Oryctolagus cuniculus: one gene and its partners. The protein of the gene in region 3 purifies or fractionates together with the protein of the main gene of each other region. This does not show direct contact. Links are inferred from orthologs where the notes say so. Each region holds a gene or a part of one and is shown on either strand. Other genes may lie near its edges. The genes, in order: MTMR1, MTMR2 and SBF2.

The links.
Region 1: the proteins of SBF2 (region 3) and MTMR1 purify together in Homo sapiens (affinity purification with mass spectrometry; 3 studies listed by BioGRID and IntAct, with this or other methods). This does not show direct contact. The link is inferred for Oryctolagus cuniculus from reciprocal best matches to the Homo sapiens genes SBF2 and MTMR1.
Region 2: the proteins of SBF2 (region 3) and MTMR2 purify together in Homo sapiens (affinity purification with mass spectrometry; 3 studies listed by BioGRID and IntAct, with this or other methods). This does not show direct contact. The link is inferred for Oryctolagus cuniculus from reciprocal best matches to the Homo sapiens genes SBF2 and MTMR2.

The regions. Positions count from the first base shown.
Region 1 is NC_091453.1:129,569,588-129,572,079, forward strand, and holds part of MTMR1 (phosphatidylinositol-3-phosphate phosphatase MTMR1), read left to right. Parts: intron 1-1,765; coding exon 1,766-1,930; 3' UTR 1,931-2,492. UniProt on the Homo sapiens protein: Lipid phosphatase that specifically dephosphorylates the D-3 position of phosphatidylinositol 3-phosphate, generating phosphatidylinositol. Could also dephosphorylate phosphatidylinositol 3,5-bisphosphate to produce phosphatidylinositol 5-phosphate.
Region 2 is NC_091432.1:87,356,325-87,360,531, reverse strand, and holds the start of MTMR2 (phosphatidylinositol-3,5-bisphosphate 3-phosphatase MTMR2), read left to right. Parts: upstream 1-1,299; 5' UTR 1,300-1,689; coding exon 1,690-1,769; intron 1,770-4,207. UniProt on the Homo sapiens protein: Lipid phosphatase that specifically dephosphorylates the D-3 position of phosphatidylinositol 3-phosphate and phosphatidylinositol 3,5-bisphosphate, generating phosphatidylinositol and phosphatidylinositol 5-phosphate.
Region 3 is NC_091432.1:56,385,012-56,388,662, forward strand, and holds part of SBF2 (myotubularin-related protein 13), read left to right. Parts: intron 1-815; coding exon 816-943; intron 944-2,431; coding exon 2,432-2,665; intron 2,666-3,618; coding exon 3,619-3,651. UniProt on the Homo sapiens protein: Guanine nucleotide exchange factor (GEF) which activates RAB21 and possibly RAB28. Promotes the exchange of GDP to GTP, converting inactive GDP-bound Rab proteins into their active GTP-bound form.

The DNA of each region.
Region 1 (2,492 bases), on a different chromosome or scaffold from region 3:
ATATGCGCTAACACCCATGGGACTACTTTGGCTCTCAGGTGGGAGTTTTCTCTAGCATAATACTATATTCAAGCTTCAGGGTTTCCTAGTCCTTCAGGAATGCTTTTGATTGATTGCAAATGAAAATGAGCAAGGATGCAGAAAGCTACCCGAAGACGTAAGCAGTGCATGTGAGCAGCCCTGGGTGTGAGACTGCATATATATTAACAGCTTGATCGCAAAGCCTTCCTCCATTTGACTGCAATCAAGTGGTCCCAACAGACAGGGGAAGACACCAAAAAGGCCCAAAGGACTGGAGAACTGTTACTTCCTCACAGTGGTCTCTGGGGTCAGCCTTCGCCATCAGGCCCTGACACTGGCAGACCACAGGAAGAAGGGAGGGGACAGCAAAGTGGGGAGTTCTTAGCCTCCTCAGTGCTGGTTCCTGGGCACCCCATTATACTGGAGGCATGTGGCTATCTTCTGTCAGCACTCCAGGAAGGCTGTATACCACTGGCACCATGATGCTACAGCTCAGAATCTGAGGGAGAGGAGGCAAGACCTGGTGAGAGATGAGCCCCAGGCAGGCTGGAGCCAGACCAGGCCTGGAGTCCGACGTCAAGATGTTAGTTCCAGGGTAGGGGCAAGATGACGCTGGTCTAAGTGGGGAGTCACATGGTCTGCCCCAGGCTTAAGACTCAGTCTTGTAGCTGCTGTGTGTACCTCTGTGTACTAGCTGCTGTGTGTACCAACTGTGCCTGTGGGAAAGCAGGGCCAGGCCTAGTCGGGCAGGCAGTGGGAACTCCTCAGATCTCGCTCACCCCCATAACATCCTTCACCCCTCAGCTGGTGAGCTACCTCCTTGGTTGGTCTCAGGCCCAGCCTGAGAGCTTCAGAGCTTCACAAGGGGTAAGCTGGATCCTGTACCTGCAGTAGTGGGCCTGGGTAGCCCGTATACCCCAGGGGAAGAACATCACACATACACAGCACCACCCATCACTGGGTTTAAGAGAAGTACTTGGACCACTCACATGCCTTATTGGTGTGCCTTGGTCTGAGGCCTGGCTCTCTTCCCAGTTCCAGCTTCCTGCTAATGTGCAGCAGATGGCTCAAGTAGTTGGGTCCCTGCCACCCACATGGGAGACTTGGAAAGAGTTCTACACTCCTGGCTCCAGCCTTGACTGTTGCAGGCATTTGGGGAGTGAACCAGTAGATGGAAGATCTTTCCAATAAAATGAAAAATAATTGGGGTGAGGCACTGCATTGATGCTGAACAAACGGCCTGTTCCCCCAGCATGGCTGCCCACTCCAGAGGCTTCTCTGAGCCCTTCCTCCAATGGATGAAATGATTACAACTTCAACTTGTAGGAAGTGCCGATTTAACATAAGTATGTTCCGTGAGCAGAACTATTTATAAAAACTCAAATGCAGAGATAACGGAGCCAGGGGAGAGGGATGTCCACATCAGCAGTGCTTTGTGCAGCAGCTGGAGCCCTCCACTTGGGTTGGAGACCATCCTCAGGGGACTGCTGGCTTCTGACTCTGCACACAGTAGCCTTGGCGGACACAGTTGGTGCGTCTGCTTTTTTTTCCTAGCACACAGGAGCTGGGGAAGGGTGGCTTGTGGGGGACGGGAGTCTGCACGCTTGGCAGGAAGACCGGTGGCCTGAGAGGCTGGGCCCACAGGGTGTGCGGATGCTCCAGTAGTCTAGTACTCCAGCGCCGAGCTGTGTGAGCAGCGAGGTAAGAACGGCCCAATAACGCAGTGCTGTCTGCTCTCCGCCAGATGCCGATTCACCAGAATCTCAAGGAGCTGCTGGCTGTCAGGGCGGAGCTGCAGAAGCGAGTGGAGGACCTGCAGCGGGAGGTGGCCACGCGTGCAGTCTCGTCGTCATCGGAGCGGGGCTCGTCACCCTCCCACGCAGCCACTCCAGTCCATACCTCAGTCTGATGGGAAATGGCCTGGCGGTTGCTGTCCTGCCTGGAGCCTGTGACCTTAAGACTCGGCCCAGGGACCATGTGTGTGGCTAGGCGACAGCTCCCACTGTCGGCGAGTATATTCGTTGTGTGCACAGCCCGTTGCCCTCCTGTCAGTGGGGTCACCGGGACCCGCCTTCCCCTAGTCTAGGCAGCTCGGGAGAAACTCAGATGGAGGTTTAAGGAAGTCTCCGACCTTTGCTTCCAAGTCACAGCCTTCGTTAAATGCAACCACCAGTCATGGAAAGACCACGTTGCTGGCCAGAGGCCTGCCTTCAGCTCTGCCACTTGAGACCTGTGATGGGGAAGTACTTGCAGGGGAGGCAGGCCCTTGCCATCTGTTCTAGTGACCTTCATGCCACGGGGCCTCCTGTTCCAGTTACTGTCATGTACAGATAAGGTATTTTTAAACAAGAGAAACATGCCTTTATTTTCCTACGTCCTTTTTTATGTTTAGTGTAGTAGTCACGGGAGCAGATAGCTGCTTAACTCTACAACGTGAGAAATTCTTTTCCAAGCAAACCTCATGCTAACTT
Region 2 (4,207 bases), about 31 Mb from region 3:
AGAAATATAAACAATTGGTTGCTATTTGTCCTTGTCAAGCTGGAGAACAGATTTTGTACTTAAGCACACATCGATTCATTAATAACTACTCTTACCCTAAAAGTAACAAAAGTAGGTTGTTCTTCTGGAGAATGTACTAGCAAGTTAAGATCTTACTGCTCCTATACTTTAAGAATTTCCTAAAAACATCAATTGCAGAGTAGAATTCAAATTTAATTTAAATCAGTATAATCCTATTTATCTTAGCAAGGAATTAAAAAAAAGATTTAGTGTAGTATTTTACAGACATAATCTTTGCATAACTTTACACCCCATATGATGTGACTGGAATTCCTTTTCAATCAGAATTCTTTTCTGTTGTCCTGTCTTTCCTGTGTTCTGTGTAAAGGAAAATTACTAGCACAAGCATTTCCCTTTTACCCAGTTCCTGTTCTCTTATCATAGCTCTATCCCTCCACACTCCCTTCCTGCTCTGCAGTGGAATGTGAAACAGCAGGAAAAGTTTGTCCTTTATTAAACACCAAGTTTTTTGTGTATATTTATTAGTTCTCCCCCATTCTCTCTTCCGCAATTCTTTCTAAAGGGGACAGCAGATTGATGTCAAAGTGCTTTTCCTGGACACACTTTTGGACACTCTACAAATCCACTCAATCCAAGTCACGGTCGGCCTCCAATTTCAGCTCCTTTCCCAGTGCCCTCTCCTTGACGCTGGGCCAGGTGAGGAAGAGGAACTGAGAGATCAGCACTGTTTTTTCGCTACCAATGGTATGCTCTCCCCATTACCTCCAGCAACCACTTCTTGCTTCTGTGCTATCCTTCCTTCATCTTCTCATGGCAGCTACCATTTATTGAATTTATGCTAGAAACGTTCTATGCATTAGTCCAATCTATTCGCTACAGCTTAGGTAGAAGGTAACTCTACTAGCTGTCTGCTTATTCTCTGCCCTACATCGTTTTAAGCATTTTACACTTAAACACTCATCCAAGCGGAGATTGTTCTTCCATTTTTAAAGGTAAGCCGAGTTTCAAGGCTCTGCATTACATGCACGAGGCTGGCAAAGCCTGAATTTGAACCATGTCTGCGCCGCTCTACCCCATAACCATTGCAGCCCCTCATTCATCTTTATCTCTGGTCTCCTCATCCCTTAAGTACACCCATTTTCGCGTACTCCCCGCCTACCGACCCCCGTGTTCCTTCTGCCCCTCCATCCTAGGGCCCGCCCACTTCTCACGACCCTGTCCTCTCGTTTTCCTTGACCCCACACATTCCTGTCTCAATCATCTCCGCGCTTTCAGAGCCTTGCCTTCCCTCTAAGACCCTTGGTCCCTTCCCAGTATTCATTCTCGAATTTTCCCTCCCTCTGCAGCATCCTCGCCTCTCTTCGCTCCACTGGTTCCTCTCACCCCAAGAACACTCAGTCGCCCTCCTAGCCTGAGCCCAGGGGCGGCCCGGACGCACCCGCCGAGCGCGTCGGGGCCGGCGTCTAAGGGGCGCCACGGGGTCCTCCCTCTCCCCTGCAGCCCCCGGGCGCGGTGCAGTCTGGGGGAACATGGCCGCTTCCGGTCTCCCTCCCGGACCGGCGCTGGCCTAACCGCGGCCCTAGCCCGGCGCACTCCGCCCTCCGCTCCTCCCGCCCGGCCGCCGCGGAGGTCGTTTTAGTCCTTCCCTCCTGCTACCGCCGCCGCGCCATGGAGAAGAGCTCGAGCTGCGAGAGTCTGGGCTCCCAGCGGGCGGTAGCCCGGCCGCCCAGCGTGGACTCCCTATCCAGGTAACCAGGACGCGCAGGGCCCCGCCCAGCGTCCTAGAGGGATGGACAGGGGCCGGGACCCGCTGGATGGAGCCCGACTCGCCCCTTCTGGCTCCCGAAGCCTCTGCCGGAATTCCTTCCCTGGGACTTGGGAAGCACTTCTTCCTTCCTCTCTGGGGCGTAGAGGCTGAGGAAGAAGAGGTTAACACTCGCTGCTGCTTCATCGGTCCCGCTACCTCTTGAACCCCGATCTCGTTTTCTCCGCGGTCGGGGAAGCCCCAGCTCATTACTTTTTTTGTCTCTCTCAAATCCCCCCCCCCTTTTTTTTGGATAGGCCTTCTCCCGCTACCCCCCACCCCCCATTTCCTGCCTTTCTCTTTACCTCTGTCCAAAACCTTTCTTTCTTCCATTGAAGTCTGTGGTTTTTGAGTTCTTGTTTAACTTTTTCCTTTTCATCACTTCATAGTCTTAACTCTGTTATGCTTTCCCCTACACTTCGATTTTTCTGCCCACCTCCAGTTTTGCTTAAATATGTAAATAAAAACATCCCTTCTGCTTTTCTCAGCGTTCCAGCTGGAGGAATCTGAGTAGTAGTCTTCATCCTCAGTGATTGGTTTAAGGAAGCAAAATGAGTGGTGGTTTTCTTTCTTGTCATTTCTCTTGTAACAGATGGGAATTTTGTCCTGGAATTTTTGAGGACGTTAGTTTATGAGCTTTGCGGAGAGCCGTTGTATATACTAATTAGAAATGTTTTCATACAGTCTTTTTCTTTAGTTTTAAAATAGTAATTTCAGATTTATTAGGAAATAACAGAAGACCTGTATTGTGAGATAGCCATAATGGAGTCAGTTTCTTTTACCCTGAAAAGTAGTGTTATTGTTACTAGAGAATTATTAGATACTAAACTGCTGTGTGAAAACAGTTTTCATTTTGTCCTTGAATAAATTGAAGTTATTCTGTTAAGTTTATTTTGGACACTGCTAAACATGAATAGAACTGCCATTTTGTCCTGTTGGTATTCAGTACCTCATTGGCCAGCCACTGACTTATCCTGTCATTCAAAATTAGATTTTTTTCCCCATATGCATTCATAGCTCCCTGCCTACTCCTTTTTCAGAGTCCTTAACAAGCACACTGTAGTTGTTGGTTTGTCTTTACTACTAGGTTGTAGGCTATTTGAAAGCTAGTAGCCTACCTTAATCATCTCCTAACACTCAGTACTGACCGTGGACTGTGCATGTAACAGGTACTCACTAAGTGGTGTTTTAAATTTGTATATTGGAGTATCCAGGACAAAGACTTTTTCTGTGCAGTTGATTATGTTTATTTCCACCATTTTTTGAATTCTGTGTTACTGTGAAATTCAGAAAGCTGAGGATTTACATGCTCAGCTGTAAAATCATTTAGAAAACAGGTTGGAAAATTACAATCACATGGGAAAGTTATACATGAAAACTGTGGTTTAAAATAGAATATAAAGAAAACAAATGAGGCGACCAGAACTCTAATCCAAAGGAGAGGAATCAGAACCACTGGAGGCATCACAGTAGATTAGAAAGAAATAAGTTACTGGAAGTTAGGAGGCTCCTGTGTGAAAGTCCCTGGCTAGCTAGCTATTCAGCTTGTGTCAGTTAACTTTCTAGTCCTTAGTTGTCTCTTTTAACATAAGGAAGTTGGTCTAAAACATCTGTAAGAGCCCATAGAATTCTAAACTTCTATAATTTTTTATCTTAATAATACTAAAATGAATGTTTTTCTTTATCAATTACTTATATTCTCCTTACAAATAATCTTTGTTCTGGATTTTCAAATTATATTAAATAAATTGTTGATTAATATAAACTAATTTACCTTACTGTCAGTTTGACACATTAAATTTGCTGAGATTTCTCTTTTTTTAGAAAGTTAATGTTTATATATGTATTATAATTAATAAAAGAAGTTACATTAATGATTTATGAATTTGAGAAAATTAACTCCCCAAAAGAATTTGACTATAAATAGATTAGCTGTCCTATCTGGACAAATATGACTTTGAATTTTCAACAAGAGAGTGTCAGCTTTCATTCTTCACCTTTGGGAGGTACAAAAACAATTATTGAATGTCTGCTACATAAAGGTTACCCTGTTAAGTTCTTTCATATTTTTTTATTTCAGTTGTTATCATACTTGTTTGTGGCACTCCCTTTTAGTATAAAATTAGCTACATTATAAGCACTTGTTAGAAAGCTTAATTTAAAACATTTTAGGCCACCCAGGTAGTCACTGGTGATTCTAATACACAGCCATGCTGGGCTATCATAATTCTAAAAGCTTTGGTAAGTTTATTTGTAGATTGTTTTTGTTTTTGCCTTGCTAGCTCATGACAAAGCAAAATACCATATTTGGGATATATTATCTCAGTCTTTTACAGAAATGTCAGCCTTAAAACTGTGGTTTATTTTTATGCTTTCTGCTTA
Region 3 (3,651 bases):
TTGGTCTCTCTAATGTGTGACCAAGGTTGAGAACCACTGCTTGGGCTTTGCTGTTAAAAGGTGGGGAGAAAACTTTACTTCGTCTTCAAGGCTGCGCATATTACAGTACCTACTCCTGCCTCGGGCTTGAGGCACCCCTTCCTGATAAACTGGTACAGTGCGTGGTGATTTTTGACTCCGTCAAACAAGACATTCAAACAAGACAGCACCCTTCCTGGCCTTCTAGAGAAATCCCTCTGCCTCGCCCTGACACATTTTCCTCCCTGTTGAAAACCAAGTGACACAATGTCAGAATATCCCCGACACGCCCCCTTTGTTCTGATTGGATTTCTAAATCAGCCATGCATACAGACCCCACTCTTCTGTCACCCAGGGTCTCCGTGACCATGCTATAATCTGCCAAACAAAACAAACACTTTAAATGGCTTCCTAACGGCCAAAAATTTTAAAAAGAAACAACAAAAAAAATTTTAATTGAGTTAATCGCATCATCCCTTAAGTGCTTATAATTTCTCTTGCAAAAAAGTGTACACAAGTGCCCACACCTGCGCTGTGTGAAGGGCCATGTGGATGCAGGCTGTGCACTGGAGGAGCACCGCCGTCCGTCGCCATACTCTGCGGGCTGCCCGGGAGCTGCTGGCCAGGGGCTTCCTTCCGGTGGAGCTGTCTCCCTGAAGCTGCGCAGTGCTGAGGGTTTTGTGCCTGGTTACCATCTTTAGAGCCTTAAGAAATGTTTCCTCTGCCACATATCTCATGCTTTTAGTCAATGTTAATTTATCTAACTTCCATTTTGTTGGATCTCTTTTAATTTACAGGAACTTTATTTGATGATAAAGGAGACAAACATGCCAAAAAAGGAGTGTGTATTTGGGAATGCATTGACAGAATGCACAAGAGGAGCCCCATTTTCTTCAATTATTTATATTCACCAGTGGAAATTGAGGTAGAATAATAAATCATTTGTGCTTCATTTTCTATGAATATATTTTGTTAAATTTTTTCGTAGTTTTATAAGATTTTATTAACATTTGAGCAGGTTTTTCTTATGAATCATTTTATTTATTTGAAAGACAGAGTTAAAGAGAGAAAGAGCTCTTTAATCCTCTGGTTCACTCCCCAAATGGCCGTAACAGCCAGAGCTGAGCCAATTGAAAGCCAGGAACCAGGAGCTCCTTCCGGGTCTCTCATGTGGGTGCAGGGGACCAAGGGCTTGGGCCATCATCTGCTGCTTTCCCAGGTGCATTAGCAGGGAGCTGGATCAAAAATGGAGCAGCTGGGACTTAAACTGGCCCATGTGGGATGGCAGCACTGCAGGCTGGGGCTTTAACCTGCTGTGCCACAGTTGCTGGCCCCTTGAGTAGTTTTTATACCAATAACTGTTTAAAAGTTTGAGACACTGTGGGTTTGAGTTGTGATAGAGACTGTTGACCAGATTCTTGCCATAAAAATCAGGAGCTGGCCTCACAAAACCTAGAAAGGACAAATTCAAGAAAGTCAAAACAAGGCAGCTTTCTCAGGAAGAAAGTACTAACTTGAAATCTCAACAGACGCTCTAAAGTGAGACATACAATACTTTAGAAAAGATTTCCTGCAGTCCCTTCATACCAGGGCAATGGAAGGGCCTCTGTTGGAAGCAGGGATGTTTGGAGCCCAGCCCAAGAAGTATGGCATCTCCCAGGGGCAAGAGTGCTGTGCTGTGCACAGCTCTGCCGTTGGCGCTAGGCTGGATCAGGCGGGTTTGATAAGTGGAGCTACCCTTACTTAGGGGTAGAGAGGCTCCTGTCCTAGGCCTCCTGCATTCACACTCCAGTCTGGGTTTCCTCCACCTGTACCCACTAATGAGATGAGTAGTACCAGAAACAAGGGTGCAGGCTTAGACACACTTCCTCATTTCAGCCGTGCTTTGGGCACCTCCAGGACGGCCATCGGCATGTTTCCTCATACCCACCTCCTAATCGAAGTCAAGTCCCCCCAGGCCCAAAGAAGTAGTTGTGTGGCAAGGGGTGGACGGAGTTTGGCTTTGTGGGCTGGGATATACACAAACACTCATGCGAGGCCCTCAGAGGATAGGGTAGAGCTGAGATGGGAGGAGAAGGAGGTTAGGCCAAGGACTAGGAGCTGTGGCCAACTCCCCCACCCAGTGCCACCACTTCCAGTGTAGAAACCTGAGGAAGCCAAGAATTCTCTAGTTGAACCTGGCCTTCCAGGTCATTAGGAGGTCGTAGTTGTCACAGTGGGAAGATGGACCATGTTTTATTTAATAGTGTATTTTAATGTATGATTTGTAAATATTTAGACAAATTGCATTTGAACTTCTAGCCATATCCTTGCCCTTGGTCCTGCAAGCGTTAGCAGCTGACCTTTCAGCAGGCTTGGGGAACTTCGGGGTCAAAATGAAACCATGAAGTATTTCAGAGTTCTCTTTAAACAGGCCCTGAAGCCCAGTGTAAATGTCTCCAGCCTCAAAAAGTGGGATTACTACATAGAGGAGACCCTGTCCACAGGGCCTTCGTATGACTGGGTGATGCTGACCTCCAAACACTGCCCCTCTGAAGACCCCGACCTGCCTGGAGGAGCTGGCCCCCAGAGCCGGAGGAGAACAGTGTGGCCATGCTATGATGACGTCAGCCGCGCCCAGCCCGATGCTCTCACCAGCCTTTTCAGTGTAAGTCACCCACGTGCAGGCCAGCCTGAGACTGGTTTACAAACCTCTGAACACGGCTGTCCTCCCTCTGGGCTCACACAGCCCTCCCAGAGATTGAACAGGGCAGACCAGGCTTACCTACCGGAAGAGAGTCCAAAAACAGTGTCCAGCATTACAGGGAAGCAGTTGGGCAAATGGAGCAATTTACTCCTTCCGGCAGCTTCCCAATTGTTTCAGCTGCGCAAGCAGGCTGAATCAGGCCTGGGCTATGGCTTCTGTGGGTGCTTTACTTCCTCTGCTCAGAAGTGTGGGTAGCTGATGGCCTGATGGGAATATTGCCAGCCGTCTTCTGCAAGGAACATTCTGTAGCAACGCCATGCTGGCAGTGCCGCCCCGAGGAAAGGTTTTATCTGATTGGGGCCGACGGGTCTGGAGAGTTTCCTCCCTCTGGTTTTCTGGCCAGGAAGAGCATGACCACTCTGCCACGGAAGCAGCTGCTCTGACAGACAGAAGGGAAGCCATCTCCTTGGACCTTTTTAGCTTTGCTCTTTCCTTGTCTGGTTGGAGTCATCAGAGCTGAGGGGTTCCTCTGTCAGGGGCATAGTTGTCTTCTGCTACAGCTGTTGGGGTTGGGCTGCAGGCCCAGTGCTTGACCTTTTGCTTTGGCCATGAGATTTCCCCTGGGTTGCCCAAGAGTAAAGGTGTTTAGGATACAGATCTCATCCCTTACTGTTTAAGCCACTTTGCACAAACAGGCCTAATTGTAGGTGCTGTGCCATCATCTTGGCCACAGCACAACACACCACCTAGAGCTCCCACACTCTTCCTGGCGTGGGAGACCTCGGAGGTCCTTGTCTTCCATGTTCTTCAGCTGCCCTCTGGCCGTGGGTGCAGAGCAGAGGAGATGGCTCTGGGCCACACCCTGACCTCTATGAAACATCGGCCCACTGGGAAACTTTTTCATTTCTTCACAGGAAATTGAAAAGTTAGAGCATAAATTGAACCAA